4 linked regions of the Arabidopsis thaliana genome follow. The protein of the gene in region 1 purifies or fractionates together with the protein of each later gene. This does not show direct contact. Each region holds a gene or a part of one and is shown in the gene's direction. Other genes may lie near its edges.

Region 1 (8,621 bases):
CAGCATATGTTTGCGGGTTTTTTCCTCATTTTATTATGCCTCAAAACAAATAAAAATTACTACTGTATTTTTATTACATATTTCACTTCAGAAGATATTTAATTCCATTTCAAAACTCTTTTATTATTGTTCATAAATTTATCTGAATTGTTATTGTTCTTTTATTTAAATAATTCGAGCTTTATTTGGATTTATGCTGTTTTTATTCATAGAAACAAGTATTTTAATATTATATACTGTCATGTCAAAACTGATTTCACCTCCCGGAAATGTTGATGATCAATAATTTACTTCCACCAATATCATGACATATTTGACCAAAGTCAAATTGCCAAAGAAATTTCCCATCATTCATCGAATAGTGACTAATCTATAAAAGTTGTATATCATGCTGATTTTTTTTTTTTTTTTTTTCAAAGTCATAACACTGCTCTCCAGTTGAATCTTAGATCACTAGAGTAGTAGAGGTCGACTAGATGTCTTTATCTAGCCATCTATGATTCTTCTAATCGAGCTAACTCAATCGGATTATATCAATAATATATTATAGAACTTTATTAAATAGTTTCTTTTTTTTTTTTTGGGCAAAACTAAATTGAAAAAATAATAGGGAAAAATTGAGGAAAAACCCCTTTACAATCAGAAATCCCATAAGAAAGATTATCTTGATGAAAAGATTAGTTTAGTGTAATCAATAAAAATAAATAATTACAGTATTTCGATCGTCGTATGTCTTAATTTACTGCGAACACATGGTAGTAGGTAAGATTGGTGAGAAGATAAAAATAGATGTGAATGCTTTTAAAATATAACGGTGGAGCAATATTGTCAGAATAAGACAGGTAGCCAATGCGCAGTTCTTTTCAAAATGTTTTTTCGACAACACTTCTTTCGAAGAAATAACGTTTTTATTTTGTAGATTCATATAATTTAGCAAACAAAAAAAGAACACTGTAGATTGATATGTATTTTGAATATATATTTTTAATCAGTCTTTCAAATTCATAACTATGGAACTATACTAGTACCATTTTACCTCAAAGTTCAGACATCAGATCATAAGATAAAAGTATTGAACATACAATTAAGAATTAGGCCTGTTACTAACTTAGGAAACATTAATGATTAACGAACGATATGTTCAAATTTAAGCAGACGAAAATACTACAAATCAGTCTAATGTATAAAATATTTCTGATAGAATGACTATCAGAAAGATAATAAAAAGTGGAAGGTGACTGCATTTTTATAGCCAAGCCGAGACTTTTTCGTGGGTTACTTAACTAGTTTATAGTATTTATATTTAGTTTTAGTTTTAGTTTGGTTTTATCAATTGTATGTGAAGCGGTAATAGATTAACATGATCATAATCATTTTTAGGTGTGTTGACTTTGTGTATGATGGTAGGTCAATGGGTCATATATAGATTACTTTGGATCTCGTTGATAAAGCTTATACACACGCAGGCAAATCGATCCTTTTCCTCGGTACAATATACAATGCGATTGCAATTTACAAGAAATTAGAATACGTTTTTCCACGTAAAACAGTAAATTATATGCATCATTAATTACAAATATCTCAAATAAAAACTAAAAACCATTATTGCTTCATTAGCCACCCAAGACAAATGAATTAAAAAAATAAGAAAGAATGAACTAGAATCTAATAGAAGATGCATAGGAAAAATCAAATAGAGTCTAATGGAAAATGCATAGGAAAAATCAAATAATATACAACCGTAACCATAAGATCAAGAAACATAACTTAATGATACATGATCGAGATTAATAACAACAAAGTACTTTTGAATCTGGCAAAAAAGCCTAAATCATACAGTTGGAACGTGGTGTTAGGAAATAATAGAGACTTGATAGGTCTTTGAGAACCCTTTGAGCCTAGGATTCCTCTTTCTGCGCCTTTAATCTCTTCCCTCATGCTTTTAATCCCCATTAAATATATTGTAAACACTAAACTAACACAAAAATTAGATGTGTTACGTCCGCTTCTGATTTCTTATTTAACTTAAACCAACCATCAACATCAAAAGATTTTATTATACAAACATATGCATGCGCATATTTAAATATATCAATGGTCCTGCTAATTATTTTATTCGATTTTTAAAAATATTTTGCATCTTTTCAAGAAAAACGATTGATGGAACCCAGATTTTTTCGTTTAAGATCAATTTGAACCATCATTCAATTTTATTTTTTAAAATGTGAATTTTCATTAATAGTGTACAAAATACAAAAAGTACCCATACTTTTATATATATTAATTTAAAAAATAAATTATTTTCGCGGTGTACCGCGGATTAAACTCTATTATATATATATATATATACTTATTTTTGTATCTCAAACATTTATACCAAGTTATGATGCAATGACTGCACTAATACTATGAGCCACTAGATTAAATGTCTTTGTCGCAATATTTCATGATGTGTATATATAAAATTTAGGTATGGATGTTTATAATTATTGCGTGGACGGCGAACAAGAAACAACGGTGCACAACGACAAATGATTCGAGTTATGTATATTCTTGATAACTACTATTAAACAAAACAATATCAATAAGAACTAAGATCTGAGAAATGAGAATCCGAGGAAGATGAGATATATAGGGTAATCAAATTAGATTTGGTAAAAGAAAAAAATAAAAAGAAAGAGAACAAGCTAGAGAATAAGGCAACAAGTATAGGTTTCACATGTTTGTGTCGACAGGCCACACCCCCATAAAAGGCTTGCTTGGCTTTTTTGTCATTGTATGCATCTAATCCACTCCACCAATTTTTTCTCCTTCACTTATTAATTCGATTTTTTAGCTATACACAGTATTTTGAAATTTGAACAATTAAAAATAAAAATGAGCATTCATCCAAATGGGTTATTGTGACTGCCTATAGTCTTGGATGGGAATGTGTAAATTTTAGTTCCTTCAAAGATTGATACTTATTACGTACAGATTGTAGTAATAAACCTATTTACAAATATAATTGCTGATAAATCAAAATTTATGGTTGTTTTAGTCGAATTGTTAATCATGTGATGGTCAAATGGGTTATCATGTGGGTCGAAGGACTAAGCTTCATGTTTCTTGAATTTTGTTATTTTGGGCCTTAAGAGGTCAGGAAAAGAAGCCCAATAATCTAAAACCCATCATTTGTGGACTTTTCCACAACTTATCCAATAACGTGGCACATTTGTGACTTTTCCACCAACTATTTTTCGGGTTAATTAAAAAAGACTTAAGAATCAATCAGTCCTTTATTTCCGTCCTTAATTCTTTTTACTTTCCACATATAGCATGAACCACGACGGTTGGATAAATTCAACGGTCACAATATTGCCACGTGTAAGCTTTGTATCTACATCCTCCAATCAACGGCCAAGTCTTGGTTAAGTTTTAGCCAATTAGAGTCACTCAGCTCATATTAGCCTTTTTGCTCTTTCTTTGCTTCTCTAACAAACCAACTTCAGCGACAAGATAACAAAACGCTTTCACACGATCGGATAAAATGGCGGAGAAGAGCTTTAAGTACATCATCCTCGGCGGCGGCGTCTCTGCCGTGAGTATCTTCCTTCCTCCTTAAGTTTTTTCAGCCATTGCTTTCGATTTTCGAAGAGCTTGATTCGATTTGTGTTGCGAAATGCCACAATTCTCGTAGTTTTTTTGGCTTGGAGTTTGTTATTGTTAATCAGATAGCGATTACGATGATTATAGATTGTGATTCATAGATTTAAACGTCAGATCGGCGGCTCTGCTTCTAGTTTCTAGTATCGTTGAGATGAATTTACAATCGAAACTTGATTTTGAATCAAACAATCGTATGTTGATTGATTGTTTTTTCGACGTAAAACATGGATGTAATCTGGTTTCCTCTGCACAGAGCATCTTAAAAACTTCCGATTCAGTTCTAGTTCTTTTGTTGTTGTTAAGTGTGAGAAAAGTGTATCTCTGCAAAATCACTTGCAGATGGTTAATAGTAAGCATAGTATCATCAGGATCCTCTTTAGTTTATACTAGCTCAGATTAATCGTATAGTCACAGATGTTAATGAAGAAAATTCCAAAGAAATAACTAAATACAGAAGCAAATTCAACTCTTAACCTTTGTTGTATCCTTTTCTCCATTTTTGTGTGTAGGGATACGCAGCTAAGGAGTTTGCCAATCAAGGGGTTCAACCAGGAGAATTGGCTGTTATCTCGAAAGAGGCGGTAAGCTTCCTCTCGATTTGGAAAACTGTGATTATGCAGTGTGTCTTGTAACCTATGATATGATGATCCTTATGTGGACTTGTCTTCTCTAATCCTCACACCTTATTTACTCTATATGGTGGCTTAGGTGGCTCCATATGAACGCCCTGCACTTAGCAAGGGGTATTTGTTTCCTGAAGGTAAGACAATTTTCTACTTTACTTTGCTAACTACAACGTTTAATTTTGATTTGCTGAAACTTGGCTTTGGTTTATGCTTTTTATGATAATCTTTTTTTGTTGCAGGGGCTGCTAGACTTCCAGGTTTCCATTGCTGTGTTGGTAGTGGTGGAGAAAAACTGCTTCCTGAATCCTACAAGCAGAAAGGTAATGAACTGTCTGCAACATCACCAATATCAATGCCCTGCTCATCTGTGTAGTCCCACTGATCTATTATAACATTACATTACTCTCTATACAAGCTTAATTACTTATGTTATTGGAACTAAATCGTGCTATGATTTTTTTGTTATCCATTGTGTTTGTAGGAATTGAGTTGATACTAAGCACAGAAATAGTGAAAGCTGATCTCTCTGCCAAGAGTCTTGTCAGTGCAACTGGGGATGTCTTCAAGTATCAGACGCTCATAATTGCAACTGGTTCTACTGTAAAGACTGATATACTTGCATTTCTCACATCAGAATGCTTCTTATGAATTCTATTACAAGAAGAAAGTAACTCTTTACCTTCCTTTGCAGGTTCTCAGATTGACTGATTTTGGAGTAAAAGGTGCAGACTCTAAGAATATCCTCTATCTGAGAGAGATTGATGATGCCGACAAATTGGTTGAAGCAATTAAAGCTAAGAAAGGTGGAAAGGCTGTAGTTGTTGGCGGAGGTTACATTGGTCTTGAGCTTAGTGCAGTTTTAAGGATCAACAATTTAGATGTCACTATGGTTTTCCCTGAACCTTGGTGCAGTAAGTTGACTAGTATCCTTTTGCTATTCATGTAATATATGACATTGTTACACGTAATGAAAACAAAATGTTGACGCAGTGCCTAGGCTTTTCACCGCCGATATTGCTGCTTTCTATGAGACTTACTATACAAACAAGGGAGTGAAGATCATTAAAGGAACAGTGGCATCTGGGTTCACAGCTCAGCCAAATGGAGAGGTAATCAAAGAAACATTAGCTAATAGAGTGGGCAATCCAATTTAAGTTTTGGTTTGATTTTATAGAAACTAAAGTCTAAAACCAAATTACAATGTTATGTTTAGGTTTGGTTTCGTTTGACGAACTCGATTAATTAGCTTTTCCAAATGGTCTCGTTGCAAATGTCTTACTTGTATTATATAATCCTCCAGGTGAAGGAAGTACAACTCAAGGATGGGAGGACATTGGAAGCCGACATTGTGATAGTTGGGGTTGGTGCAAAACCATTGACATCCTTATTCAAGGGACAGGTCGAGGAAGATAAAGGTGGAATTAAGGTATTTATCTGCTGCCTGTGCGTCTCTTCTTCTTCTTATCCCGTACCATTCTGATTTGGATCTTTTAAATTGACTGCTTAACTGTTTCACACAGACCGATGCATTCTTCAAAACAAGTGTTCCAGATGTTTACGCTGTTGGTGACGTTGCTACTTTCCCTTTGAAAATGTACGGAGACGTGAGAAGGGTCGAGCATGTTGACCATTCCCGCAAATCAGCAGAGCAAGCTGTTAAGGTAAATAATGCTTACAATATGGCTGATATCGCTACACCAAAACCCTATTAATCCATACCATAAAAAATGCAACGCAAACTCTTGAGGCCTAAATCTTATAGATTAACATACAGTTGTATATATCTGATGAAGCGTTTATATATGTGATACATTGTGGCAGGCGATCAAAGCGGCTGAGGGAGGCGCAGCGGTGGAGGAATACGACTATCTTCCATTCTTCTACTCTCGCTCCTTTGATCTCTCATGGCAGTTCTACGGAGACAACGTAGGAGACTCTGTGTTATTTGGAGACAGCAATCCATCAAACCCAAAACCAAGATTTGGAGCATATTGGGTTCAAGGTGGTAAAGTGGTTGGAGCATTCATGGAGGGAGGTAGTGGTGATGAGAACAAAGCCTTGGCTAAAGTCGCCAAAGCTCGACCTTCTGCAGAGAGTCTCGACGAGCTCGTGAAACAAGGAATTTCCTTCGCAGCTAAGATCTGAGTGAAACACAACCACCAAAACAAACTCACGTTTTCTCTTCTATGTTAAAATAAAAACTTGTTTAGCTATAATAAGTTGTGTGTTTGTATTGTCTCTCTAAACTCCATGAGAAGAGTCTACGGCAGAGGAAACCCTGAACCACATTCACATTTTAGATCATGTGTTTGGTTTTCTGTGTTTCAGTATCTGTCTTGGTTTCTTAATGTGAACAACTCCAAAACCACATTTACTGTAATCTCAAATGAAGGGAGTAATTTACAATATGAAAGCAAATGGGCCTTGAAATAGTAATTCGTAGACTCTAATGGGCATTGGACGACCCTTGAAATGTCAATTCGATCTTTAATTGGACATCTCTCATTGTTCCATGTCCTCGGCTCGACTAGGTTTTCTTAGAATTAGTTTTGATATATACACAAACCGAAGAAAACTTGAAAATTTTGAGTTAGAAATTCATAAATTTAACATGATATTAGTCCCTTTTGCTAGTGATAATCAAATTTATTTCCAGTCGTAGAGTGGAATTCAGTTAAATCTACTCATTCTAAATATATTAGTTAGGAATAATGTTATTTATAATGTGGGATTGTGAAAGCAAATATTGATTAATGTGAATGAAAAGATGAAATACTATGAGCGTCAGATTCGCTTTTTGGATTTTCTCTTTTTGTTGGTTAAAGATTGAACAAAAACTTAGCAAAAATTGAACTGCATTTAAGTTATTTTCTTTGTTCGATTTTGTTAGTAATTCTTTTGGTTTAGTTTTAAATAGTATAACTTTGTGGTTCTCTGAAAGAAAACTTGTTTGGACACTTATAAACGCTACGATCAGATTCATAATTTTAAAGTAATGGGAATTACGTTGGGTATGTTCACATGTGATGAGCCAAACTGTTATTAATTAGCATAACGAAAGATGTGATGCAAGATGCATATTCATAAAGTTTGTTGGTGGGGCAAACTCTATTAAGTATGGAGGTCATAGTGTTAGGTCTTCGTCTTAAATTTAAAGTAAACTGGAAATAAATAAGACAGTGAAGCACAACCAAAATTTTCATTTAATATCTCTTATTTTTGTGTGATATGCTTAATTTGTGAGGAGGATGACGAATAAACTGATTTTATGTGTCTACGTTTTCCCCCCTAATAAAAAGACAACAAATATGGTGGGACATTTATGACTTAAAAGAACAATCAACCTAATCCACTATTTAGAATATAAGTTGTAATTTTTTTTTTTATTAGTCGACGAATAGCTGTAATTTGTGTGTGTGTGTGTGTGTATATATGACGTTTTTCAGAATTAACAAGTACTACAAATCTATGATCAGTTCAGTTTCAAGGTTATTAATCGTGTTTAAGAAATTTATCTTCTGAAACGTTTTTATTCAGATCACATCTTTCATCATCATCATTATCCTCTAAGATTTAAATTTCTTGTAACCGATAGACAAAAACAATATTATTTATATAAGATGCGGAAAAGTTTAAGATGCGTGGTGGTATTTAGTTGAATGCCCAAATGTGTAGTAGATACAGTCGTCTGCTAGAGACTTTTGCAGTAGTTGAATAGCAGATTTAGAAACTTTTGAAATGTGCTAGGAAAAATTCATGTGAATCCCTTTTGGTGGAAAGTAAGTTGCATAGCATCCTTCGATATCAGTTAAATAATGCAAGAAATGGAGGCGTATATATTTTACAATTCTCTTGTATATATCTCAAAGTTATAGACATACTAATTAAAGAACACCTTATTTTATATTGTCATGTCTTTCTCATGGTTAAATGAGTAAATCTTTCTGTGGGCCAAATTATAACCAAGTTCACTATTGCATGCATTAATTAATGTGAAATTACTTATAGAATGACACAAATCTTTCATTTCATTACTAAACTAACACCTACTAAAGTAACAAAACTCGTGTACGCTTTTAAAAGTTATGTTAGATTGGTCAGATTATTTTTTGATCAGCCGATTTTATTGACCCTTTCAACGAATTTGTGTTTTTTCAGTTTTGGTAATGTACATTGTTTGCCCAAAAAAAAAGAAAAAGAAAAAAAGAAAAAGGTAATGTACATTGTATTTTTACTCAGCCTGTGTAGACTTATGTAAATTAGTTCCATTAATTTAGAAATCTGCGACTCGCTGCTATTAGTCATCATATGAGGTCGAGAACTATTTAACAAAAAACGAGTGACTCC
Region 2 (9,695 bases), on another chromosome or scaffold:
TTTGGGCACACAAATGATCTCATATAGATTGATTTTTTTTGTCACCCATATTAGAAATTAGAAAACACTACACTAAATGCATGCTCCAACCACATAGGGTTAAAAGTCTATGTCATTGACTACGAACGATGACTCCAAGAAACTAAATGAATATGATGCAAACAAAATCTTTATTCGTCATAAGATTGCGATTATGTATAAATACTATAAGGTTTACCGGATATTTCATTTAGTTTGTCTTAACCTGATAATTGCTCTACTAGTGGATCTGCCATTGAAACAAAAAGGCTTTCCACTCAAATTCTCTGAGGTTGCACTTGCACATGCATACAAACAAATATTCTTCTAATTGTTTGCGCGTAAGAAAAAGAAAAAAAAAACTATATCCATTATTGAGAAAAGTAGCTGAAAAATAAATAAATTAATAGACAAAAATGTTAATCAAAATTTGCTTTTGAGTAAAAATTAACCAGTTGAATGAATAAAATATAACTTCTACAGAAGGTATAAGAGTTTACATGTTCTAATCCTCCATTAAACAATTATAAAATACCCACAAAATCTAAAACTTTTAGGTGAATATTCATTAATGAATAATTGAATACCACTAATTAATTATGTTAAATTCATCACAACTTTTTCATGATACATCACACATAAACCACCATAATATAATAATGAAAGAAATGTGAATTTGGTTGAAAAAAACAAAAGAAAAAAGTAAAAAGGTTGAAGCAAGAGACTGACTTTTATCCAAAAATGTGCTTGAATTTTAATTAAAAAACACGAATTCTTCTTGACTTTCGTTTCAAATCTAAATCCTTCCTCGCATAAACTCTTCCCTGAATCAAAAACCCATTCTAATAAAAACAAAGACGATCTCAAACACGCTTCTTCTTCTTCCTCATTCCTCAATCATCCCTAAGACGTCACCTCACTTAAACCCAATCCAACGCCGCCGAACCAAAATCAACTTCTTCGGTTCTTCCCCAATTCAATACTACTTTCTGGGTCGTCGTTAAATCCCTAAATCTCTCTCTGTTGTTACCTTCCCATGGGATGGTCACTAAGAACTCTCATAAGAGCAATCTGGGCATGACAAAGTCCATGAATTTCTTTCAGAACATCATTAAACCTTTCAAACGCAGCTCCAATCGAGGTAAGATCCGTTTGATTTGTTGATTCTTAGTGTAAGATTAGGTTTTTGTGAAATTTGACTAACTTTTTCTTCGTTGACTTAAAGGTCTTGAAGATGATATTGAGCGAATTGCTGCTATGGAGCAAAAAGTTTTCCCATTTCAAGTTTTAGTTTCCGCTACCAAAGATTTTCACCCGACCCATAAACTCGGTGAAGGTGGTTTCGGTCCCGTCTTCAAGGTAACCCTAATTTTGACATACCCAGAGCTTAAAGTTTCCATTTTTAGGGTTGTGGTTGTATAATTGTGTGTGTGTGTTTTCGTGGGTTTTGTTAGTTTGGCTGATGAGGTTGATTGGTGTGTAATAGGGAAGATTACCTGACGGGAGAGACATAGCAGTGAAGAAGCTATCTCAGGTTTCAAGGCAAGGCAAAAACGAGTTTGTGAACGAGGCTAAGTTGTTGGCTAAAGTTCAGCATCGCAATGTTGTTAATCTTTGGGGTTATTGTACACATGGAGATGATAAGCTCTTGGTTTATGAGTATGTCGTTAATGAGAGCCTCGACAAGGTCCTCTTCAGTAAGTTTTTCTTCTCAATGAGATTGGTTTGTATATTAGGATAAATGATATTGAAAGAAGATGGTTTTAACATGTAGTGGTTGCTTCATTTGAATGCAGAATCCAACAGAAAATCGGAGATAGATTGGAAGCAGAGGTTTGAGATCATAACAGGCATTGCTCGAGGACTGCTCTATCTACATGAAGACGCGCCAAACTGCATCATCCACAGGGATATTAAGGCTGGCAATATTTTGCTGGATGAAAAATGGGTTCCTAAGATTGCAGATTTTGGGATGGCTAGACTCTATCAGGAAGATGTAACACATGTCAACACTCGTGTTGCAGGAACCAAGTATGCTCTCTCTATTGTTTACCCTTAAAAAGCTCATTTACATATCTTCTTGTGTCATTTGAACTCTTTTTGTTTGTTGGTGTTTCATGGTAGAATGTTATTTAACGTCCATTGCTTCTTCTTTTCTTATGCGCAGTGGTTATATGGCGCCAGAGTACGTAATGCACGGGGTTCTATCGGTAAAGGCAGACGTATTCAGCTTTGGGGTTTTGGTTCTGGAGCTCGTAAGTGGACAGAAGAACTCGAGTTTTAGCATGAGACACCCTGACCAGACTCTTCTTGAATGGGTAAAGCCTCTAGTCTCATGCTCCATTGTTTATAGGGTTGTTGTGTGATGGCCTGACCCAGCCAATATTCTTCAGCGTAATATAACCAATGCTAAATTCTTTCTGAATGTGACACAGGCATTTAAGTTGTACAAGAAAGGCCGGACCATGGAGATACTAGACCAAGATATAGCAGCTTCAGCTGATCCAGATCAAGTCAAACTCTGTGTACAGATCGGACTACTCTGCGTTCAAGGCGATCCGCATCAAAGACCGAGCATGAGACGGGTATCTCTACTTCTCTCTAGAAAACCAGGACATCTAGAAGAACCGGATCATCCTGGTGTCCCGGGATCTAGATACCGTCGGCGAACACAACGTCCTTCAGGAGCAGCATCACTTGGAACATTGTCGACCACTGGTTCCAGCACAGATTCTTTCGGTTCAAACCTGAACACAAACACGGGAACTGGTGTTAGAGGTACCCCCGCATCTTCTAAAGCTTCAACTCGGAGTAATGCCACTAGAAGTGCTGGTCAGAGCTCTAGCTCAGACCCTCACGGGAAACGACATATGAGTTATTGAAGTACATAAAATCTGGTCATAGGTGATTGTAAATAGCGAGCTGCATATATAATATTTGTTTCATAATTTATTTAATTTTGCTTTTGAAAAGTAAATTAATTTATTTTTTTGACTGCAGTAGTGATTTAGTTTTGTAGTATGATTTGTTATATTAGCGGGAAAAAATTATGATTCATTTGTTACATTTGTATATTAGAATAATCACTTGTAGTCCCATTATCTAGGTCCCCACTATTGGCCTCGTACGTATAAAAGCATATTCTCTTGTACGTATTAACGGTACCTTACTTTAAACAAAACATAAAACTAAAATGTTTTTTATGCGTTTTAAATTATTTTTCAGTTAAAATTTATAAAAAGGGTTTTTGTAAACAATTATTTTGATAGTAAAAGAAATACTAACTGAAATTAGTGGAGAAAATACACAAACATATATTTAACTTTCTTTAATTTAAAATATACAGATTTTGTTTCTTTAATTTTTTTTTTCAAATTTTAGTTTTCATTTATTTTTAAATAAAGTATGACATGTCATAATGTTGTATTTTGATTTGTCATTAAAAAGGGGGTGAATCAAATTGGTTCACTCTAGAGGTGAACTTCGCCAAAGAATCACAGACCGTCAGTGTTAATCATCAGAGACATCAACGTAATGTTCCTCTTGGTTACTTCTTGCTTTAATGTTCCTCTTGGTTACTTCTTGCTTTCTACCTGATTCAGGTTCTTCAGTTAAAGTTTCTCTTTTCATTTTTGGGGTAATGCCCGGTTGGGCCTCGTTGTTTTATTTAGGTTCTAGTTCTAGGGCCTGCGTGTCCTTTTAGGCAGTTATTGCCATGTATGTTCTTTGGGCCATTCGTGCCTCTGTCGGCTTGTTGGGCCTTGTAATCGTTTCGGCTCTATTGGAAATTAAAAATAAAATATATATACTAACCCGTTTTGGGTAAAAAGTTAGGTCCACTAAAAGACGAAAAGAGATCCTACCAAAAAAAAAAACGAAAAGAGACGAGCCACACGCGTCACCTTCTCGTTTAGCCTCTTCATCTCCTTTCCTCAGACTCACTGTGTAAAAAGGCTTTTATTTTATCATCTTCAGGCTTATTCGATTTTCTTCAGATTTGAAATGGTGTCGTTCAAGGTCTCTCTCGTCTCTACTTCGCCTATTGATGGCCAGAAACCTGGGACTTCTGGACTCCGTAAGAAGGTTCGTTCGCTTTCGCTTCTTCTCCTTGTTATATCAATCCCCGCGTTCTTATTTCGAAATTGGATTAGAGATTTGAATTCTAAATTCAGATCTTCGCAACGAAATTGATTTCTTCATTTAGTTCCGATCTTATGGATTGAATGAATTTTGTGTGTTGGTTTTAACAATTTGATCCGATCCGATGAGATTTGAATTTACGCATTGTTTCGTAATTTTACAGGTGAAAGTGTTTAAGCAACCAAATTACCTTGAAAATTTTGTCCAGGCAACGTTCAATGCTCTTACTACAGAGAAAGTTAAAGGTAAAGATCTCTCTTACCTCTCTTTGATTGTTGTTCAGGTAAAGGTCGATGATTGCAAATTCCATCTAAGAAAGAGTATTTGTTAACTTTTTCAGGTGCGACACTTGTGGTTTCTGGTGATGGTCGTTATTATTCAGAGCAAGCTATTCAGGTAAAAGCTTTATATGTCCTTTGAATGATGGCAAACTGCGTTTTGCATTAACTTATAATTCTTAGACACTTTACTCTTATTTTAGTTGTTTTGAATCTTTTATTTCATAAAAAAGATAGTTCGTCAATACCACTTTATTTCCTATCTGGACAGATTATAGTAAAGATGGCAGCAGCTAATGGTGTTAGACGTGTGTGGGTTGGTCAAAACAGTCTGCTATCAACTCCTGCAGTATCAGCTATTATTCGTGAAAGAGTAGGGGCTGATGTGAGATATCTTCCTCTAAACTCATACTACTTACTTTTCTCTTGGGTTGTTATCTAAGGCTATGCATGTTTGCAACATGTAATGACGTGATGAGAAACTAACCCGAGATCCAATTTCAGGGATCTAAAGCCACAGGAGCATTTATCTTAACAGCAAGTCATAATCCTGGTGGCCCAACTGAGGTCAGTTCTCTTTTTGTTCTCACTCTTTTGTGCTTGTTCATTCGATACCCTCACTTAGTATTATTTGAATCCTAGCATCAGTTTTGTTAAACTATATGTTCATCTCTCTGCTTCCATATGCTGATTTCCTGCTATTCTATTCACAGGATTTCGGAATTAAGTACAATATGGAAAATGGTGGACCAGCTCCTGAATCAATCACTGATAAGATTTACGAGAACACAAAGACAATCAAGGAGTACCCAATAGCGGAAGATCTACCCAGGGTACCTAACATTTCTGATCTTATTACCTGTCATCATCTTTTTTTCATCTTGTATTTGTACTAATCATGTTTTTTTGCTGGTCTTTTTGATTGAATGCAACAGGTTGATATTTCTACTATTGGTATAACCAGCTTTGAAGGACCTGAAGGAAAGTTTGACGTCGAAGTTTTTGATTCTGCAGATGACTATGTTAAACTAATGAAGTAAGTCTTTCCATCTTTGTATCTGAGAGAACAGTTCTTGAATCTACTCCCTCTATGGTCTATGCATTTAAGAGAATGGTTCCAGAATCTGCGGTATCGATGATCTAAAAGATTTGTTCGTCTCTTCAGGTCAATCTTCGACTTTGAATCCATCAAGAAATTGCTATCTTATCCAAAATTTACTTTCTGGTATATAGTTCATCAACATCCATAAATCTTTTCTTTTGAGTTTGTTTGCTTGTATAGGCTCCATCATGTCTTTGATATTTTATTTCCCATCGTTCTATGAAGCTATGATGCATTGCATGGAGTGGCTGGAGCATATGCACATCGCATCTTTGTCGAAGAACTAGGTGCACCAGAAAGTTCGTTGTTGAACTGCGTACCCAAGGTATCATTTTTTTCTTCTTTCTTATTTTGTATAACCAAGAAATATCATTTCCTGAAAGGATTATAAATACACGTTGAACAGTGTCTTTTATGATTTATAACAACACGACAATCGGACAATGTACAGGAGGACTTTGGAGGGGGCCACCCGGATCCCAATCTTACCTATGCTAAGGAGCTCGTGGCACGCATGGGATTGAGTAAAACTGATGATGCTGGTGGCGAGCCTCCAGAGTTTGGCGCCGCTGCTGATGGTGATGCAGACCGAAACATGATCCTCGGTAAAAGGTAGCAGAGACTAATTCTCTTTTAAGTGAGATCACAGAGATGTGGAGCGGATATACCACTCTCCCCGTTAACCAAAAATATCTCTTCTCCGCAGGTTTTTCGTAACTCCTTCGGATTCAGTTGCTATAATTGCTGCAAATGCTGTTGGGGCCATACCATACTTCAGCTCTGGTTTAAAAGGTGTTGCTAGGTATGCATCCCGGTTCTTCTTTGTTTACTCCAGTTCATAGATTGAAAACGCTGGACTTTGGTGTCATACGTTTTTGTTTATTATAGATAGTAACAATCTTTTCTCATTAAATTCTCAACTTTCACATTCGTATTGCAGGAGCATGCCGACCTCAGCTGCACTTGATGTCGTTGCAAAAAACTTGGGTTTGAAGTTCTTTGAGGTAGATGTCATTGTGAAGCTTTTCTCTAGCTTCTATTCATTGCAATCACGTAACATAGTCTATTGCTCTAATACTTCTATATTTTAGGTTCCAACAGGCTGGAAATTCTTTGGCAATCTAATGGATGCTGGGATGTGCTCTGTATGCGGAGAAGAAAGTTTTGGAACCGGTGAGCTTCTATTGCTAGATCTTCACATGTTTTAAAACCGTAACAACCCTACACAACTCACAAAGAAGCTTTTCGACAGGTTCGGATCATATCCGTGAGAAAGATGGGATCTGGGCAGTTCTTGCTTGGCTATCAATACTGGCTCACAAGAACAAGGAAACCCTTGATGGGAATGCAAAACTGGTGACGGTTGAAGACATTGTCCGCCAGCACTGGGCTACATATGGCCGTCACTATTACACTCGATACGACTATGAGGTAAAACTGACAAATGTCATTATTGGTTGTAGACAATATGTAGAATAACCAATTACCTTTGACCAATTTCTAAATATTTGCTCCATAGAACGTAGACGCAACTGCAGCTAAAGAACTCATGGGACTTTTGGTTAAGTTGCAATCTTCACTTCCCGAAGTCAACAAGTATCTCTCTCTCCACTTAATTTCAAATCCATTCCTTTTTACTTGTATGACTTTCAGACTCACGTTTTTGGATAATTGGTCAGGATTATAAAGGGAATTCATCCAGAGGTGGCAAATGTTGCAAGCGCAGATGAGTTCGAGTACAAAGATCCAGTAGATGGCTCTGTTTCAAAGCACCAAGGGATCCGATACTTATTCGAGGATGGATCACGACTTGTAAGTCGATATGTGTGAAATGGATTCATAACAATTCAACAACCTGTGAAATTGTAAAAGCTAATCCGGGCTTGTTTCTCTTGTTCATGAAGGTGTTCCGTCTCTCGGGAACTGGCTCAGAAGGAGCAACAATAAGGCTATACATTGAACAATACGAGAAGGACGCCTCAAAGATCGGCCGAGATTCTCAGGATGCTCTTGGTCCCCTGGTCAGATTCCCAGATACCTTAATTACTCCCAAATTTACGCATAATCGATCTTTGTCATGTTTATTAACACCAATTGTTGGTGTCTGATTTTCACAGGTTGATGTTGCATTAAAGCTGTCGAAAATGCAAGAGTTCACCGGCCGATCATCACCAACTGTTATTACATAAGACAGCTTTCAGAAGACGCTGTCTCCAATACTACTCTCATTCCAACTTCATTTCTTATGAATTTGGGTTTTGCTTTTTTCCTGTTATCTGTTATCTTACACAAGTATACTTCAATACATATAATTTTAATGGAATATACATTAGGTTGGCAATTGAATTTCTAGCTTTGTTTGGCTCCTCCAAATAAAAAAGAATTGCCACAATATTGGAGCATGTGTGGCAGATGGAGACGTAGCAAGAGTAAAAAGCGAATCCAACAATAACTGATACCTAAAACCTACGGTGTACAACTATAGATAATGGACCCGAGAGGTGGTGATGACAAGCCAGAAGACAGATGTTTATAATTTGTCTCTTGAGCTTGACCAACAAAAACATTCTGACAGTTAAAAGCTAATGTTGGGCATGAATTTCGTGAATCAGATTGTGCCATGTGTTAGTTTGTATAAGTGAGTCAGGGTTCACGGGTTCTTTCTTATTTGGTTTTTAAATCCAAAAGAAAGAGAGGCATCATTACCATCCAAACACTCCTCCCACTTTAGGCTTTCTTCCTCTGTCCTTTCTCCATATTTGTTGTCTTCTACTAAACTTTTGTCTCAACAATGACTGATGCTTTAGCTAACCATCAACATTGTAACATACAGTTGATGGTTAGCTATTTGCTATACATTTGTCTATTTCTCTTGCTTCTATAGTCAAAGTATAGAGTTAGCTCGTATAAAAAGATCAGCATTTAAGTATAAAAAAAATTAGAATGATTTTATGTATAGTATTGTCTAACTTTAGGTGAAATCACAACTGATTATAGAATCCTCGAAGAAAAATATTAAAAAATCAAAAGGCTTAATATTAGCATTTTCTTATGCAGAAATGCTTAATTAATCAAAATAAGTCTTTTCACGTAATTGATTCATGTAACTATAGTAAATTGTTGATAGACTTTACTCTTTAGCAGTGTTCTTTATGGTATCACAGTTACAAATACAAAAAGATTGATTGAGTTGGCTCTTTTGTCCGTATTAGTTCATACTTGTAAAAAAAAACTACAATGTACATATATGATTACAAGACTTTAAAATAGTGTATTATTGATTATTGTACTTCCCTCGTTTATCTCATCTTTAAATTTTATATATATATATATATATATATATATATATTTATCTTTAAATTATAATTGGATAGTGATAGAGCGTCAACCGAAATATATGATATCTTGAAATGTAATTGTTACAGGTTTATAGTATTGTTTTTTGTTTGATGTATTATATTATATACATGGCAAATCATAGGCCAAGTACATTGAATATGATTTTTTTCTATTCATAATAGATACTTCTAGTTCTTACTTGTTAGTCTTTGGAGAAAATTCGATATTTCGATCATGTCGATCATTACTTTTTTTACCACAATCATCAGTTCAGGAGAAGTACTGAAGAACTAATATGTATCCACCTCAGGCTTGATGGGGAAATCTAATGGATAATGCTTTCACATTCGTTGAATTTTTTTTAGTTTCTAAAAAACATAATAAGTGAGCAATACTTCAGTGTTCGAATATATATTCAAAACCGTGTACTTTTTTTATAAACTTCAGGGTTATTGGAGTTACAGCGCATGCATGCAATATTATTAATTATGCATCGGCTTCTTCATTAATAAATTAAGAATCTTTATAAAAATTGTACCATATGTTCAATTATTTATTTATCACGTTTTCTTAAAGTACTTATATATTTAATTTACCAGAAAATAATCGAAGAAAAAACGACATGAATCTGATTCTTTTTACAGTACTGCTGTTTTCATTTACTTGCAAAAACTGAAATAAATCCAAGTAAATAATAATTCCAAGGAAAACTCACATATATTTTCAGTATTACATGCAACAACGAGTAGTACTTTTAGTTTACTAATACTTTTTTAAGTATAAAAGTTCATAGTTTCGAAAAAAAACAAAAGACTCGA
Region 3 (5,792 bases), on another chromosome or scaffold:
AATTATGTGAATAGCTGATATAGTAGATACAACAAAAAAATGATTGATGAGAAGGAGATAGAGAAAGGGAACTTTGGTCCATTGACCAATGTGTTTGCGATCACTTTTTCAAATTTTGAAGTAATTGACTACATTGTACAATTTATGTGTAATCATGCATATAGTTTCTACATCGATTCATCATACAATCATGAGTTTTCATATATCTAGATCCTAATTACAATCAAATATATGTTTGTGAGAGGTTGTATGTGACTTTGAATAAAACACAACATCCTCCATTATATCTCTTTTGAGGATTTCAGATAATTTTGAGGATTTTTTTAGTTGAAAACACATATATCTAACTAACATGATTTAAGTGGAATTTGGGAAGATTTTCAAACAAATCATTACAACTACTCTAAATTCACTTAAGATCAACAAAATCATAAAAACTCAAATCATTTAAAACAAATGGTTGGATACACTTTGAAACTTGCAACTTATATTTCGATTGGTTGTTTTTTTATAGTCGATTGTTCTTAAAAAAAAACTATATACTTGATACATATATTAATAAATAAAAAAATTAAAACTATAGACTAAATGTTTTGCTGTGAAAGTGTGTTATTTATATCTTCAACATGAGAGAATGCATCATTGGTGGTGTGAGATAAAACCATTGTGTCTTTCTAACCCACATCTAACAAATATTTTATCGAATTGGGCCTTAAAATAATAATAAGTGAAGACTCAATAACACTAAAAATGCAGCGAATATTCTAGCTCTACAATGTTCTTCGGTATAATTAGAGTTAAAAATTTGTGGAGACTATATATAACTCATTTTGCCTCCCATGGGTCATAAGCAAGCAAAAAAAATGGAGCAAACTTTCATCATGTAGAAAACTTGTCTTTCTTTCTTTAATACATATTTGAAGGTCTAAAAGAGTTAGGCAAGATGTGTTAGCGACAGTGTTTTCGAATGTGATGAGAAATAATCTTTAAGAACAAGTGGTTATGTACAAATTTATGCGAATAGATGATAAAGTAGATACAACAAAATGATTGAGTAGCAAGAGATGGAGAAAGAGAACTTTGCTCTATTAAAAAATGTGTTTGAGATCATTTTATCAATTTTTGAAGTAATTGGCTACATCGAATAATTTATGTACTTATATATAGTTTCTATATCAATTCATATACTTGATATATATATTATAAAAAATAAAATCCTTAAAACTACAATTTTTGTTTAGAAAATGTGTTGTGTATATCTTCAACATGAGAGAATGCATCAAAGTGGTGTGATCAAACTCTTTTAATCCAAATCTAACAAATATATTAGGGTTTTGTGCCAACAACCCTCAAAAATATTTTTTTTTGCAACATAACCTTTCATATTAAATACATGTAGGTCAATACTCTGATATCAAAAGTCACCCACAGTATAACCACGTGCATAGATTTTATATAATCTTTGGGCGTGCTTAGATTTTGCAAACCGTATAAGTATGTATATAAGTTATTAAACTACGTCGTTTGAGCATCTTTTCGGAAAATAATACATTACTAGAGTGGATTGGAACCAATAACCTATAATACTAAATAATGCACTTAACCAATTGTGCTGCAAGATTTATTGTTGATATTGCATACCGATAAATATATATTGTGAACATTGCATTCTGGGTTTCTTCATCTTCTTAGGAAATTAGGTTTATTAGCAATCCGAAATCTCTATTCACGTGAACTAGTTTGTTTATCACCACTGATTTCATTATCTTTGGCCATCATCAACAATTTGTAGAGCAAGCAAGGGCTCATTCTCATCGCAATTAATCTATTCTTCATCGAGGAAAGCTCTGAGACGAGGCGTGGGTGGAAGAATTGAGCGTGTTCAGACTTGGGTTTGATCCGATCGTAACCGCTCGCGCTGTTTGTCAAGTTTTATGTTTACAATTCTGAAATAATGTTATTGTTGTATTCGATTCATGTTTAAACTATATATATTAATCGGTTTGTAAAGTTAACAAAATCACTCTGCTCAATTGGTTAAGTAATCTTTGAATAGTTCAATATGCCATGCGTTCAAATCTATTTTCCAACATTATTTTGCGTTTTTGTTTAAAGGCTCAAAACAACGTAGTTTTAATAACCTATATATAAACATACGGTTTGCAAAATCTATACACGTCTAAGAGATATACTATAGGTGACTTTTGAGATCGCAGACCTGCATTTATTTAACTTACATGATTGAGTTACAAAAAAAATTACTTAGAGAATTTTTTGGCACAAAATCCAATTTTTATAACTAATTGAACCTTAAAATAATAATAAGTAAAAGCCGTTTTTTTTGTTAAAAGAAGGCTCAAAACGACGTAATTTTAATAATCATGTACAGATTTATATGATTTGCAAAATCTATACACGTGCAAGAGTTATATTGCGAACGACTTTTAATATCACAGTATTAATCTACGTTTGTTTGACATAAATAATTAAGTTGCAAAAAAATATTATTTGTGTTTTTTTTATGAAGCCCAATATTTTATTTAATTGGGCCTAACATAATAATAAGGGAAGCCCAATAATTTGTAGCAAATATTCTAGGGTTAGAATATTCTTCAACAGAATTAGGGTTACATGTGCGGACTCTATATAAATCTTTTTTGCCTCCTACGAATCACAAGTAATAAGAAAACAATGGAGCAAACTTTTATTATGATCAAGCCTGACGGCGTCCAGAGAGGACTCGTAAGCTTCCCTTTTCTCTTAATACATACTTGTTGATCTTGATCTGATTTTGGTTTTGTATTCAGTTCTTTGGATTGTTTATACTTAAAAGATCGATATGTTTGTGTTTTTTTCTTTCAGATCGGTGAAGTCATCTGCAGGTTTGAGAAGAAGGGTTTCACTTTGAAAGGTAATGATTTCGATTACCAAACTTGATTTTACATTATAATTAGAGGTCTTAGATCTAATTAAAGTCACTTTGTTACTTGAATTGAGATTGTAATGACACTATAGTTGCTTATGGTTTGGTCTAGTTTCTGAACACTAATAGTTTAGTAAAACTTGTTTGACTTGACAAGTATTCTGTGTTGTCTAATAGATTTTAGATTATAGTATCTGTGCATAAGAACTTGTTATTATCTGGACCTTTTGTATTATGTAATTTGGTAGATAAGAGTGTTAGTCTTGTGTTTCTGATCAGTGTAGATTTGTATTTTATACAGGTCTGAAGTTGATCAGTGTAGAGAGATCTTTTGCTGAGAAGCACTACGAAGACTTATCTTCAAAGTCTTTCTTCAGTGGACTCGTTGACTACATTGTATCCGGCCCTGTTGTTGCTATGATCTGGGAAGGAAAGAATGTTGTCTTGACCGGAAGAAAGATCATTGGAGCTACCAACCCAGCAGCTTCTGAGCCTGGAACTATCCGTGGGGACTTTGCTATTGACATTGGCAGGAACGTGATCCATGGTAGTGACTCTGTCGAGAGTGCAAGAAAGGAGATTGCTTTGTGGTTCCCTGATGGACCTGTCAACTGGCAGAGCAGCGTTCACCCTTGGGTCTATGAAACTTGATGATCTGTTGCTTTTTCAGTAGTGTGTTTTCGACATTGCTTGTCTTTTGAACAAGACTTCTATATTTAAGTTGAGTTTGATTATCCTTCTCTACTTTGCTTGCTTGCTACATATGAATACAACAGCTACCAACTGGTGATATAAAATATATCAGTTATTGCAGATACTGAACCAAAATTGACTCTTACCAATGGTTAGATCAAACCTATTTAGTAAACACAAGATCATACTTCTTGTAACCTTGTGTTTCATGAACACATAATGTTGTCAATCTCTTAGATGCTCTCGAAAACTGCGACGTTCGACAAAGTGGCAAGCTTAAGTTGTCTAGTAAGCCATTGTCCAAGTTTGAGGCTGACACCAACTTGAAGGGGGCATACTAGGAGAGAGTGATAAGAAAAGTTTTGAGTATTTGTCTACTGAATTTCAAGCTTACTGATGAACATTGGCAAGCTAAATTTAAATAACTAAATTTTACAATTTTGGTTCTTCAAACTTTAGAGAAGAAAAGAATCCAACGGTCAGGTTCAACTCCAACCCGTCTGTTTCAATCATCTATTTTGACCGCTTATTGTAGCTGCCTGTAACAGTTCAAACCCAGCCACTGTCAACAATCAAAGCCAAGTTTGTTTCCAAAGATGGACACAGCTAAGTAGTCTTTTTTGTCCTCTTCCAATTGTTGGTTCTAAGAAGTCGGTTAAGCGAGAACGCTTCTCCTTGACCATCGTTAAGCGACCGCAGTTCCAGACAGCAAGCTGTTAGTTGTCGGAGAAGTGTCTCTAGATGAGAATGCGATTGATTTTTGCCCTTTGGTTTTGTAGATAAAATCGCAGCATTCACTGTGTCTGCCACTACTTCCCTTTGAGTCTCTTCTAGGAAATACCCTACATTCGATTCTTCGGGGCGTTCGTACACTAGCAAAGCAAAGCAGTCCTGAAATAGATAACAAGATGCTCGAATCTCTTGTCTTTGAAACCACTAAATATTGAAAAAAATTCCAAAACACCACCACTAGTTTAAGGTTGCAGAACCATCATTACCTCTAAAATGTCTTGGAATGTAGTTAAACCAATGAATTTGGCTAATTCCATTCGTCCATATTTCACAGCCTCTTCTAGTGCTCCAATCTAAGTATGTCACATTTTAGTATTTATTTACTTAGAGAGAGGTCAGTCTAACCGCAGTGGATCTGATTAATATATAAGGAATGAAGAGCATACCCGTACTAATTCAATGAACTTTTGACAGTGAAGGAGGAAGCATACTTCTGATTTATCGTTCTGCAGATTATACAATTGAGGTAAGAGTTCATATTTTCAATGTAACAATATGAATCAACTGATATGATTAGTTCCTCAATCCACCTGTACAAGTTGGGGATAGCTATCTCGGAGTTTCGCAAGAGCAGCATCGATCTCACCCTTCCGTATAAGCTTTACCAACCGACGTATGGATCAGTTCAATACTTAACGAAAGAGATGTAGTAGTAGTAACGAGCAAGATAGCAGTCTAATTCAATACCTGTCTAAGAATTTTTCTCTCATGCAATGCATATGATGTATCATCAATACCATTTTCTTGAGCTCCATTGATAGGAGGAAGTGTACTGTTAGTAGCCAAGTCTAAAGCATGATGAGTCTCTTCATACCCATAATGAAGCAAATAGTTCTTTACAAGCCTGATGATCAAAAAAAACCAGAAGCTTCTTAGCTACGCAGAAATTTTATTACCAATGCAATAAAAGAATAGAAGAAAAAACTTCACCTCAGTAACTACAGAACAAGAGTGTACTCACCCAAGACTCATGTTCGATGGTATGGATATCTTTTCGATTGCTATTTGTTGCTTATTCCTCTCCGATGATTCATATCCCTAACACAACAGAAAAAAAGAGGAACAGCTAAATCATACGTAATCACTCCTGTAACCTTAACCTCAAACAAACCTAAGGCAGAAAGAGAAGCACAAGTAAACACATATTACTCTCTACCTCAACTTTCTACACATATTACACATACAATTCTTAATCGTAGAGTCTAAGAGAAGATGTTTAATCACTGTATTTTTTTACAGTGAATCATCTGCCACATTATATGTTTGTACCATATCAAAAAGATGCATATGTTTCTTTACTATACGATAGTTATACTTCGGACTATCCCATCGATAAATTACACAAGCTAAGAGCTAGAAACTCCACTAGTATACCAAAAATATT
Region 4 (7,621 bases), on another chromosome or scaffold:
TTCTTTTTTTGGTTGTATGATTCACGGGAATGATTGAGATTTCTAGTATTGTATCTGCAATGATCCGTGGGAACAAACGTGTCATCTGATTTGAATTCCATGAGCTTGATGTACCATTTGGCTACATTCTTCTCCTTGCTGGATTTGTATTGCATTTGATGATTACTTCTTTCGTGTGGATTGTTCAGTTCTGAGATAATCCTTTGTTTTACTAGGAAAGTTTCCTCTTTTCGGTGCGTTAATCATAGTATGATTCACCACTGGCTTCTTGGTTTTTGAAATTTGATCTTGTGTATCAATCCTTTTGAGTTCTTCATTGTTAGGGACATGGATGTTTTAACTGTATACTATGTTTGTAGGATTTATAGCTGTTTAAAGGCATGCTGAGGAACTTGCATTCTGAAATTTATGTTTTCTTAACCAAAGAGCTTTGTTTGTTCTTAGCATTGGAAATTTTGTTGTGTTTTAAGCGTTTCTGTAATATACAGCATCTGATCAATATATTTTTTTCTCTTGGTTTATTACGTTGGTTTTAGTATTTAAGGTTTCACTGAATTTGTTATTATTGATTTGTTTGGATGAATTTGGTATACTTGGCTTCTCTGATTCATTCTTTCGTCCAGAAGGAAATGAACATTTGAGTTTATTGATGGATTATGGATTGACCTGTTTAGATGTAATTCTTTGGTTGATGACTAAAGCTCCTTGCTTGTAAATCATTGGAATGCGTTATCCATAGTGTGATTCACATTGGCTTCTAGATTCCAATTTTTTGTTCTTCTGTTTCCATGTTGATCATTGAATTTGTTCTCTTGTTTTTTTTATGGAGATTATCGTATTTAAGTTTCCACTCCCCGAGTTTGATACGATGGTTTGAATTGTTTGGATGGATCTCATACTTCATGGAATCCGTTTTATGTACTTTTGTTTTTCCTTAGAAGATTATACATCAATGGTCACATCTTGATTGTGGTAGTCCTGTGGCTTATTCTTATTCTTGTAGAACACTTGACCAAGTATAAAGTTTGCCTTTGATGTGAAATATTAATGTTTCATGCTATTTTCAGGCTTCTCTTCTCAAGTCCTTGCTCAAGGAAATGAGATAGGTTTTGGTTCAGAAGTCCCAGCCACAGTCGAAGCTGTCAAAACGCCTAACTCAAAGATTGTCTATGATGACCATAACCATGAGCGTTACCCACCTGGTGACCCTAGCAAGCGTGCATTCGCCTATTTTGTCTTGTCGGGTGGGAGGTTTGTTTATGCCTCTGTCCTCCGCCTGCTTGTTTTGAAGCTTATTGTGAGCATGTCTGCAAGTAAAGATGTCCTTGCCCTTGCATCCCTTGAGGTTGACCTAGGGAGCATAGAACCAGGAACTACCGTGACAGTCAAGTGGCGTGGAAAGCCCGTCTTCATCAGGCGAAGAACAGAAGATGACATCAAGCTGGCCAATAGTGTGGATGTTGGATCCCTGAGGGACCCACAAGAAGACTCGGTTAGGGTCAAGAATCCAGAATGGTTAGTGGTTGTTGGAGTGTGCACTCATTTGGGGTGCATCCCCTTGCCTAATGCTGGTGATTATGGTGGTTGGTTTTGTCCGTGTCACGGATCACATTACGATATATCTGGAAGAATTAGGAAAGGTCCTGCACCATACAACCTGGAAGTACCAACCTACAGCTTCCTGGAAGAGAATAAGTTACTCATCGGTTGATTAATAAAAGCACAACAGTCAAGAGTCTGGATCTGAATGATGATCTTCACTTGTTCTTTTTTTCTTTTAATTAATATTTTCCGGCATGTTAGAGCAAGATTGACTTGTTTTTGCTGAATAATACAAACTTGTGATTTTTGTTTGAAGTATACTCAATCTTCGTTTATCCATCGCTAGTAAAAGACGACTATGTTCATAGTCTGTGTTTATTATTTAACATGCCTATTTGTCCTATGTATGAGTGAGATTCCTTTCGTATCTCATAATTCTAAACATCGTCATTCCAATTAAAAAGTTGTATTTACATTTGAGTTTCGATAGTATCTCAACGTTCATAAAAGAAAAACTAAAGGTATGAGAAAAACCAACGTAGAAACAAACAACAAAAGGTAATATATCAGCTTTGATTGATAGTTTACAGGAAGATAACCGAATAAGTTCAAACTGTATTCGTAAGACATCCCGTGAATGAATATTCAATCATCCAAAAGTGGCATAGCTAGATTTTTTCTAGATTGGCTAAGAACACAAAAACATAATATTTTATTCTGTTTAATCTTTTTTAGTTAAGAAAAAATGTTTGACACACAAAAGCCAAAGTTTGATTTGGGTAAAAACCATTGTGGGAGATGAAAATGTTAAAATCTTGTTTGTTTTGGTCACCAACAACGGCCATGAACTATATGGGAAGTGACTTATCTCTTGTAAGTTGTTTTCCTTTTGGGATATGGGAAGTGACTTCTCCGACCCTTGCAAACTAACAACGGCCATTACACACTAATTACAAGCCAAAGGTCCTCACTAAGCAACCTCTCGTGTTTATCATAAGACACCGCTCTATCTCTTATTATTTTATTCATTGTTTTCTAATTTCAGACTGATTAATCATACATTAGAGAAAGTTTATTAAAACCATCTGATGTAAAAAATCACATTTATCTAAATTAAATAAATTTGTTATCTAGTATATAACTATTTATTGTTTTAACATTTGGATAAATTGTAAGAAATTAGAATGTAAAATAAGACAGAAAATGGTCAACTATGAGCATCTATCGCCATCATGATATAGTTTCGTCGTTTGCGTTCCCGACCTAACTCAAAACTTCACCAACCCCATTTTTAAGCCCCTTTCTTTGTTTTTATCCTCCGATCGATCAAACCAAGAAAAAACACTTTCGTATTTCCCTCGACGAAAAAAATGGCAACCATTTCGAATCTCGCTAATCTTCCCCGCGCCACCTGCGTCGACTCCAAATCTTCTTCCTCTTCCTCCGTCTTACCTAGATCCTTCGTCAATTTCCGCGCTTTGAATGCAAAGCTTTCCTCTTCTCAGCTTTCTCTTCGTTATAACCAACGATCAATACCTTCCCTCTCGTAAGTCTTTATATCCATTTGATGCATGTCTTTTGTCTCTGTTTCTCGCTCTTGGGGTTCACCAAAAATTGAATCTTTTTAGCTGGAAACGTACCACGAATCTCAAAGTAACATTTTTTATAAGATGGATTAGGAAAAGCAACTGTATTTCCCCTTTTTGGTTGGTAAAAGTCTGATTTTTTTGTTTAATTTGCAGTGTGAGGTGTTCAGTGTCTGGTGGAAATGGAACTGCTGGAAAGAGAACGACTCTTCATGATCTATATGAGAAGGAAGGTCAGAGTCCTTGGTATGATAATCTTTGCCGTCCAGTCACAGATCTTCTCCCGTTGATTGCTCGTGGTGTTAGAGGTGTTACTAGCAACCCTGCGGTAATTTTATCATCTCTCTTTGTGTGTTTGGTTTTGCTTTTGCTCTGTGTTTGTTCATTTGTCTTTACTTCTTCACTTTTTATACATTTGCAGATCTTCCAAAAAGCCATTTCCACTTCAAATGCTTATAATGATCAATTCAGGTATCTTTTTGTGATTGTCTTAGACTTGTGGTTGTTAACAACATGCTATTAAAACTTTAGAGTTCTTCTTTATATGAAAAGTTGTCTGATATGTTAATGGTATACCTGACATGCACTATTAGGACACTTGTGGAATCGGGAAAGGACATTGAAAGTGCGTATTGGGAACTTGTGGTGAAGGATATTCAGGATGCCTGCAAACTTTTTGAGCCAATCTATGACCAGACAGAAGGTGCGGATGGCTATGTCTCTGTTGAAGTTTCACCTAGGCTTGCTGATGATACCCAAGGAACTGTTGAAGCTGCTAAATATCTTAGCAAGGTTGTCAACCGTCGTAATGTCTACATTAAGATTCCTGCTACTGCTCCATGCATTCCTTCCATCAGGGATGTCATTGCAGCTGGAATAAGTGTCAATGTCACGGTAAGTTATCCTAGTATGTTTCATTATTCAAGTTTCTTATTGCAAGTTTTAAAGAACTTCAAAATAAAATAAGTCATAATACTTCAAATTCATGTATTGTGTGATGATGTGCTAGATCACTGGATTTCTTGGGCGTTTTAAACCTGAAACTAGATTAGTTCAAGGGTGTTCCAAGGATGCACTGATGTTACCTTTTCTAAATCGTTTCTCATATGTTCTGTTCTGTTTCAGCTTATATTCTCAATCGCCAGATATGAAGCAGTGATCGATGCATATTTGGATGGCCTCGAGGCGTCTGGACTTGATGACCTCTCAAGAGTTACCAGTGTTGCTTCCTTCTTTGTCAGTCGGGTGGATACTCTCATGGACAAGATGCTTGAGCAAATTGGTACCCCTGAAGCCTTAGATCTCCGTGGGAAGGTAAAGCTCTATTCATCGCTGAGATCTTACACCAGCCACTGTGAGTAGAGTATTAGCTTATGACACATGATATGTTTACTCTTGCAGGCGGCTGTGGCTCAAGCTGCATTAGCATACAAGCTATACCAGCAGAAATTCTCTGGCCCAAGATGGGAAGCTCTGGTAAAGAAAGGTGCCAAGAAACAGAGACTTCTCTGGGCATCAACAAGTGTAAAGAACCCAGCTTACTCTGACACCTTATATGTCGCTCCTCTCATCGGACCTGACACTGTAAGTCATCTTTTTGTTTGTGTTGAAGTCAATAGGCTGTATTAACGCTTTGGAAGTATATTCATAGTTTTTGTGGGTGTGATTTAGGTATCAACCATGCCGGATCAAGCCCTGGAAGCATTCGCAGATCATGGAATAGTGAAGAGGACAATAGATGCGAATGTGTCAGAAGCAGAAGGGATTTACAGTGCACTAGAGAAGCTGGGAATAGACTGGAACAAAGTAGGAGAACAGTTGGAAGACGAAGGAGTAGATTCCTTCAAGAAGAGTTTCGAGAGTCTGCTCGGTACACTGCAAGACAAGGCCAACACTCTCAAACTAGCCAGCCATTGAGGAAATGAGTCATCATTATGTTTTTGGTTACGCTAAAATAAAAAGAAGAACCTTTGGCTTTTGTTCTTCAATCCTTATGCATGCTTTCTAAAGTGGTTATGATGGATTTTGCTTGATGTTCCACATTATGGGTTATTCTATTTTCTTTGTTCTTGTAAGATGATGCTTCAGAAGAGTTTGTTACTTTTTACCGTATTTGTAATTTACATTTTCACTGAAAACAATTGGCGAGTAAAAAAGTGTCCTTGTCTTCTTCTTTGTTCGGATTATATGAACAATTGTTCCTAGAAGCCTCTCTACATAAAAAGCTGAGACTTTATCTCTCATCTCTCTTTAGACGTACAAAAAAATCAGTTTTTTAAGTTTCACTCTAATGGCGTCAATTTCGTCCTTTGGCTGCTTCCCTCAATCCACAGCGCTCGCCGGAACTTCCTCCACCACCGTACGACGCCGCACCATCTCTCTGTTTCTTCTTCTTCTTCCTTTTTATTCACTGAATCTCTCATTTTGATTCTCAGAGATGCCGGACGACTGTGGCTGCTCGATTAGCTGACCAATCAGATGACTTCGCTCCTCTTCGTTCTTCTGGTTGGCTTGCTTCTACAGTTTTACTTTTCTGTTTCCTCCTCAACAGTGAATTGAATTATAACTTCAGTTTTGAAAACAGGTGGGAATTGTGGATGTGTTAATAATTCTGGAGAGTTTGATCGCAGAAAGTTGTTGGTTTCTTCTGTTGGTTTGTTGATTGGAGCATTGTCATACGATTCTAAAGATGGAGACTTTGCATCAGCTTCTCAATTTGCTGACAGTAAGAATTTTCAATTTCTTTTTGGAGGGCAGAGAATCTTTCTCAGGGTTACATTTCGATTAAGTTGTTGCTTTGTGCCTTATTAAGTAAAGTTATTGGCATTTGTAATTTGGAACATTGTTTGATTGTCCACTGTTAAGAGTTTGGTTGTGAGAGAAAGATGTGTTCTTTAGGTGAAGTTAATTTATCCGTGCGTGATTGTTGAAATCATCGATATAGCCTCTTTTTTTTCTAAAGCCACATTCTTTTCTTGGTATATTACTTGCATTCACAGTGCCAGCGCTTAAAGGGAAGGATTATGGCAAAACAAAAATGAAGTATCCAGATTATACAGAAACACAGTCTGGTCTTCAGTATAAGGTCACCCCTCATTAGTCCCATATCTTATATCTAATATAGTTTAGACTATGCGGTGATCATTAACTTGAAGATTTGAGATGCTGCAGGATTTGCGAGTAGGAACTGGGCCTATAGCAAAAAAGGGAGACAAAGTTGTGGTAAGGAAATTTCTGCATATCTATGGTTTTGTATCCTTGGTCTCAAGTTTATCTAGAAGTTTGCTCTGGTTAGAGAGTTTGGAGTTTGCTTTGCTTGTATCTATGTTAGCAAATTAATGTTTCAAAGACCATAGGTTTTGCTAGTAGTTATAAATAATTGAAGCTGGGTATGTTAGGTTGACTGGGACGGTTACACAATAGGGTACTATGGACGCATATTTGAAGCTCGCAATAAAACAAAAGGGGGTTCTTTTGAGGTATAAACACGTTTTGGCTCTTTTTTTTTTTGTTTCATTAGCTACAATGATACAGTCCTTAATCTTTGTTTTCTTTTTGTGAATCTGTAGGGCGATGATAAGGAATTTTTCAAATTTACCTTAGGATCCAATGAGGTGGGCGAAATTCCAAGTCCTTCTAGTTGCTATATGGGTTTTACCGGTTTAAAGAATGGATTTTGTTACTGATTGTATGAATTGTTTCTTTCTGGATGCTGCATGATTTTGGTGTTCCAGGTGATACCTGCTTTTGAGGAGGCTGTCTCTGGGATGGCTCTCGGTGGTATCAGAAGGTTCAACATCTTTCTAATATTTCTAACTCTACACATCCTCCATATGTTTTTCATATAGAACTCACTCTTCACACAAATGGTAGACGGTAGAATGAATCAGTGTAAATAATTAGCTTGGTATTGCAGGATAATTGTACCGCCAGAACTAGGATACCCGGATAATGACTACAACAAGAGTGGGCCGAGGCCGATGACTTTCTCTGTGAGCCTTATGTTTGTTTTATGTAAACATGTATAAGAAAGACATAAGTTTTAAATGTTGTCTCTTTATGTTTGCGCAGGGACAACGTGCATTAGATTTTGTGCTGAGGAACCAAGGGCTCATAGACAAGACACTTCTCTTTGATGTTGAACTCCTCAAAATTGTACCCAATTGATGTAACATCGACAGTCTTAACTCACGTACATATATATTTATTTATGATGTGTATACTACATTGGCACATTTGTGTAAATTGAGCTCAGTTTATATCATATAATGTTAGCTCTTTTTAGGAGTGTTAAAAAAAAAAATAGCCATGCATCACCAACTAACTGTTCATCATGTTAATTCTGCTTCCTCTTTTTAGTTATATTATCCCTTATAGTGAGGTAAGTTATTATAACATTTCATAGAAAGTTTAGAATAAAATGAAATGTGAACACAAAAACCAGTGTAAGCAGCTTCTGTTGTTTTGACTTTATTGAGTAGCCAATGTTGGTT

What was found.
Region 2: the proteins of MDAR1 (region 1) and PGM2 fractionate together in Arabidopsis thaliana (co-fractionation; one large-scale study listed by BioGRID). This does not show direct contact.
Region 3: the proteins of MDAR1 (region 1) and NDPK1 fractionate together in Arabidopsis thaliana (co-fractionation; one large-scale study listed by BioGRID). This does not show direct contact.
Region 4: the proteins of MDAR1 (region 1) and TRA2 fractionate together in Arabidopsis thaliana (co-fractionation; one large-scale study listed by BioGRID). This does not show direct contact.

What each region holds. Positions count from the first base shown.
Region 1 is NC_003074.8:19,599,275-19,607,895, reverse strand, and holds MDAR1 (monodehydroascorbate reductase 1), read left to right. Parts: upstream 1-3,441; 5' UTR 3,442-3,529; coding exon 3,530-3,580; intron 3,581-3,901; coding exon 3,902-3,997; intron 3,998-4,157; coding exon 4,158-4,229; intron 4,230-4,356; coding exon 4,357-4,408; intron 4,409-4,513; coding exon 4,514-4,594; intron 4,595-4,755; coding exon 4,756-4,874; intron 4,875-4,965; coding exon 4,966-5,185; intron 5,186-5,264; coding exon 5,265-5,383; intron 5,384-5,574; coding exon 5,575-5,700; intron 5,701-5,794; coding exon 5,795-5,935; intron 5,936-6,095; coding exon 6,096-6,419; 3' UTR 6,420-6,683; downstream 6,684-8,621. UniProt on the Arabidopsis thaliana protein: Catalyzes the conversion of monodehydroascorbate to ascorbate, oxidizing NADH in the process.
Region 2 is NC_003070.9:26,667,052-26,676,746, reverse strand, and holds PGM2 (Phosphoglucomutase/phosphomannomutase family protein), read left to right. Parts: upstream 1-3,580; coding exon 3,581-3,655; intron 3,656-3,864; coding exon 3,865-4,101; intron 4,102-4,321; coding exon 4,322-4,403; intron 4,404-4,498; coding exon 4,499-4,554; intron 4,555-4,707; coding exon 4,708-4,821; intron 4,822-4,940; coding exon 4,941-5,003; intron 5,004-5,149; coding exon 5,150-5,269; intron 5,270-5,371; coding exon 5,372-5,472; intron 5,473-5,601; coding exon 5,602-5,661; intron 5,662-5,763; coding exon 5,764-5,863; intron 5,864-5,989; coding exon 5,990-6,150; intron 6,151-6,244; coding exon 6,245-6,340; intron 6,341-6,478; coding exon 6,479-6,542; intron 6,543-6,629; coding exon 6,630-6,711; intron 6,712-6,790; coding exon 6,791-6,969; intron 6,970-7,057; coding exon 7,058-7,134; intron 7,135-7,217; coding exon 7,218-7,350; intron 7,351-7,442; coding exon 7,443-7,559; intron 7,560-7,655; coding exon 7,656-7,727; 3' UTR 7,728-8,101; downstream 8,102-9,695. Other genes in the region: AT1G70740 (Protein kinase superfamily protein), read left to right, coding at 1,096-1,159, 1,244-1,377, 1,505-1,715, 1,815-2,049, 2,186-2,372, 2,454-2,900. UniProt on the Arabidopsis thaliana protein: Catalyzes the reversible isomerization of alpha-D-glucose 1-phosphate to alpha-D-glucose 6-phosphate. The mechanism proceeds via the intermediate compound alpha-D-glucose 1,6-bisphosphate.
Region 3 is NC_003075.7:5,920,793-5,926,584, forward strand, and holds NDPK1 (nucleoside diphosphate kinase), read left to right. Parts: upstream 1-2,691; coding exon 2,692-2,742; intron 2,743-2,862; coding exon 2,863-2,911; intron 2,912-3,224; coding exon 3,225-3,574; downstream 3,575-5,792. Other genes in the region: AT4G09340 (SPla/RYanodine receptor (SPRY) domain-containing protein), read right to left, coding at 4,223-4,507, 4,615-4,701, 4,795-4,854, 4,939-5,007, 5,096-5,252, 5,370-5,446. UniProt on the Arabidopsis thaliana protein: Major role in the synthesis of nucleoside triphosphates other than ATP. The ATP gamma phosphate is transferred to the NDP beta phosphate via a ping-pong mechanism, using a phosphorylated active-site intermediate.
Region 4 is NC_003076.8:4,299,504-4,307,124, reverse strand, and holds TRA2 (Aldolase-type TIM barrel family protein), read left to right. Parts: upstream 1-2,809; 5' UTR 2,810-2,912; coding exon 2,913-3,088; intron 3,089-3,284; coding exon 3,285-3,456; intron 3,457-3,549; coding exon 3,550-3,599; intron 3,600-3,721; coding exon 3,722-4,022; intron 4,023-4,253; coding exon 4,254-4,442; intron 4,443-4,529; coding exon 4,530-4,712; intron 4,713-4,799; coding exon 4,800-5,045; 3' UTR 5,046-5,333; downstream 5,334-7,621. Other genes in the region: AT5G13430 (Ubiquinol-cytochrome C reductase iron-sulfur subunit), read left to right, coding at 1,068-1,711; AT5G13410 (FKBP-like peptidyl-prolyl cis-trans isomerase family protein), read left to right, coding at 5,419-5,487, 5,564-5,633, 5,713-5,853, 6,128-6,213, 6,300-6,350, 6,527-6,607, 6,698-6,742, 6,863-6,918 and 2 more.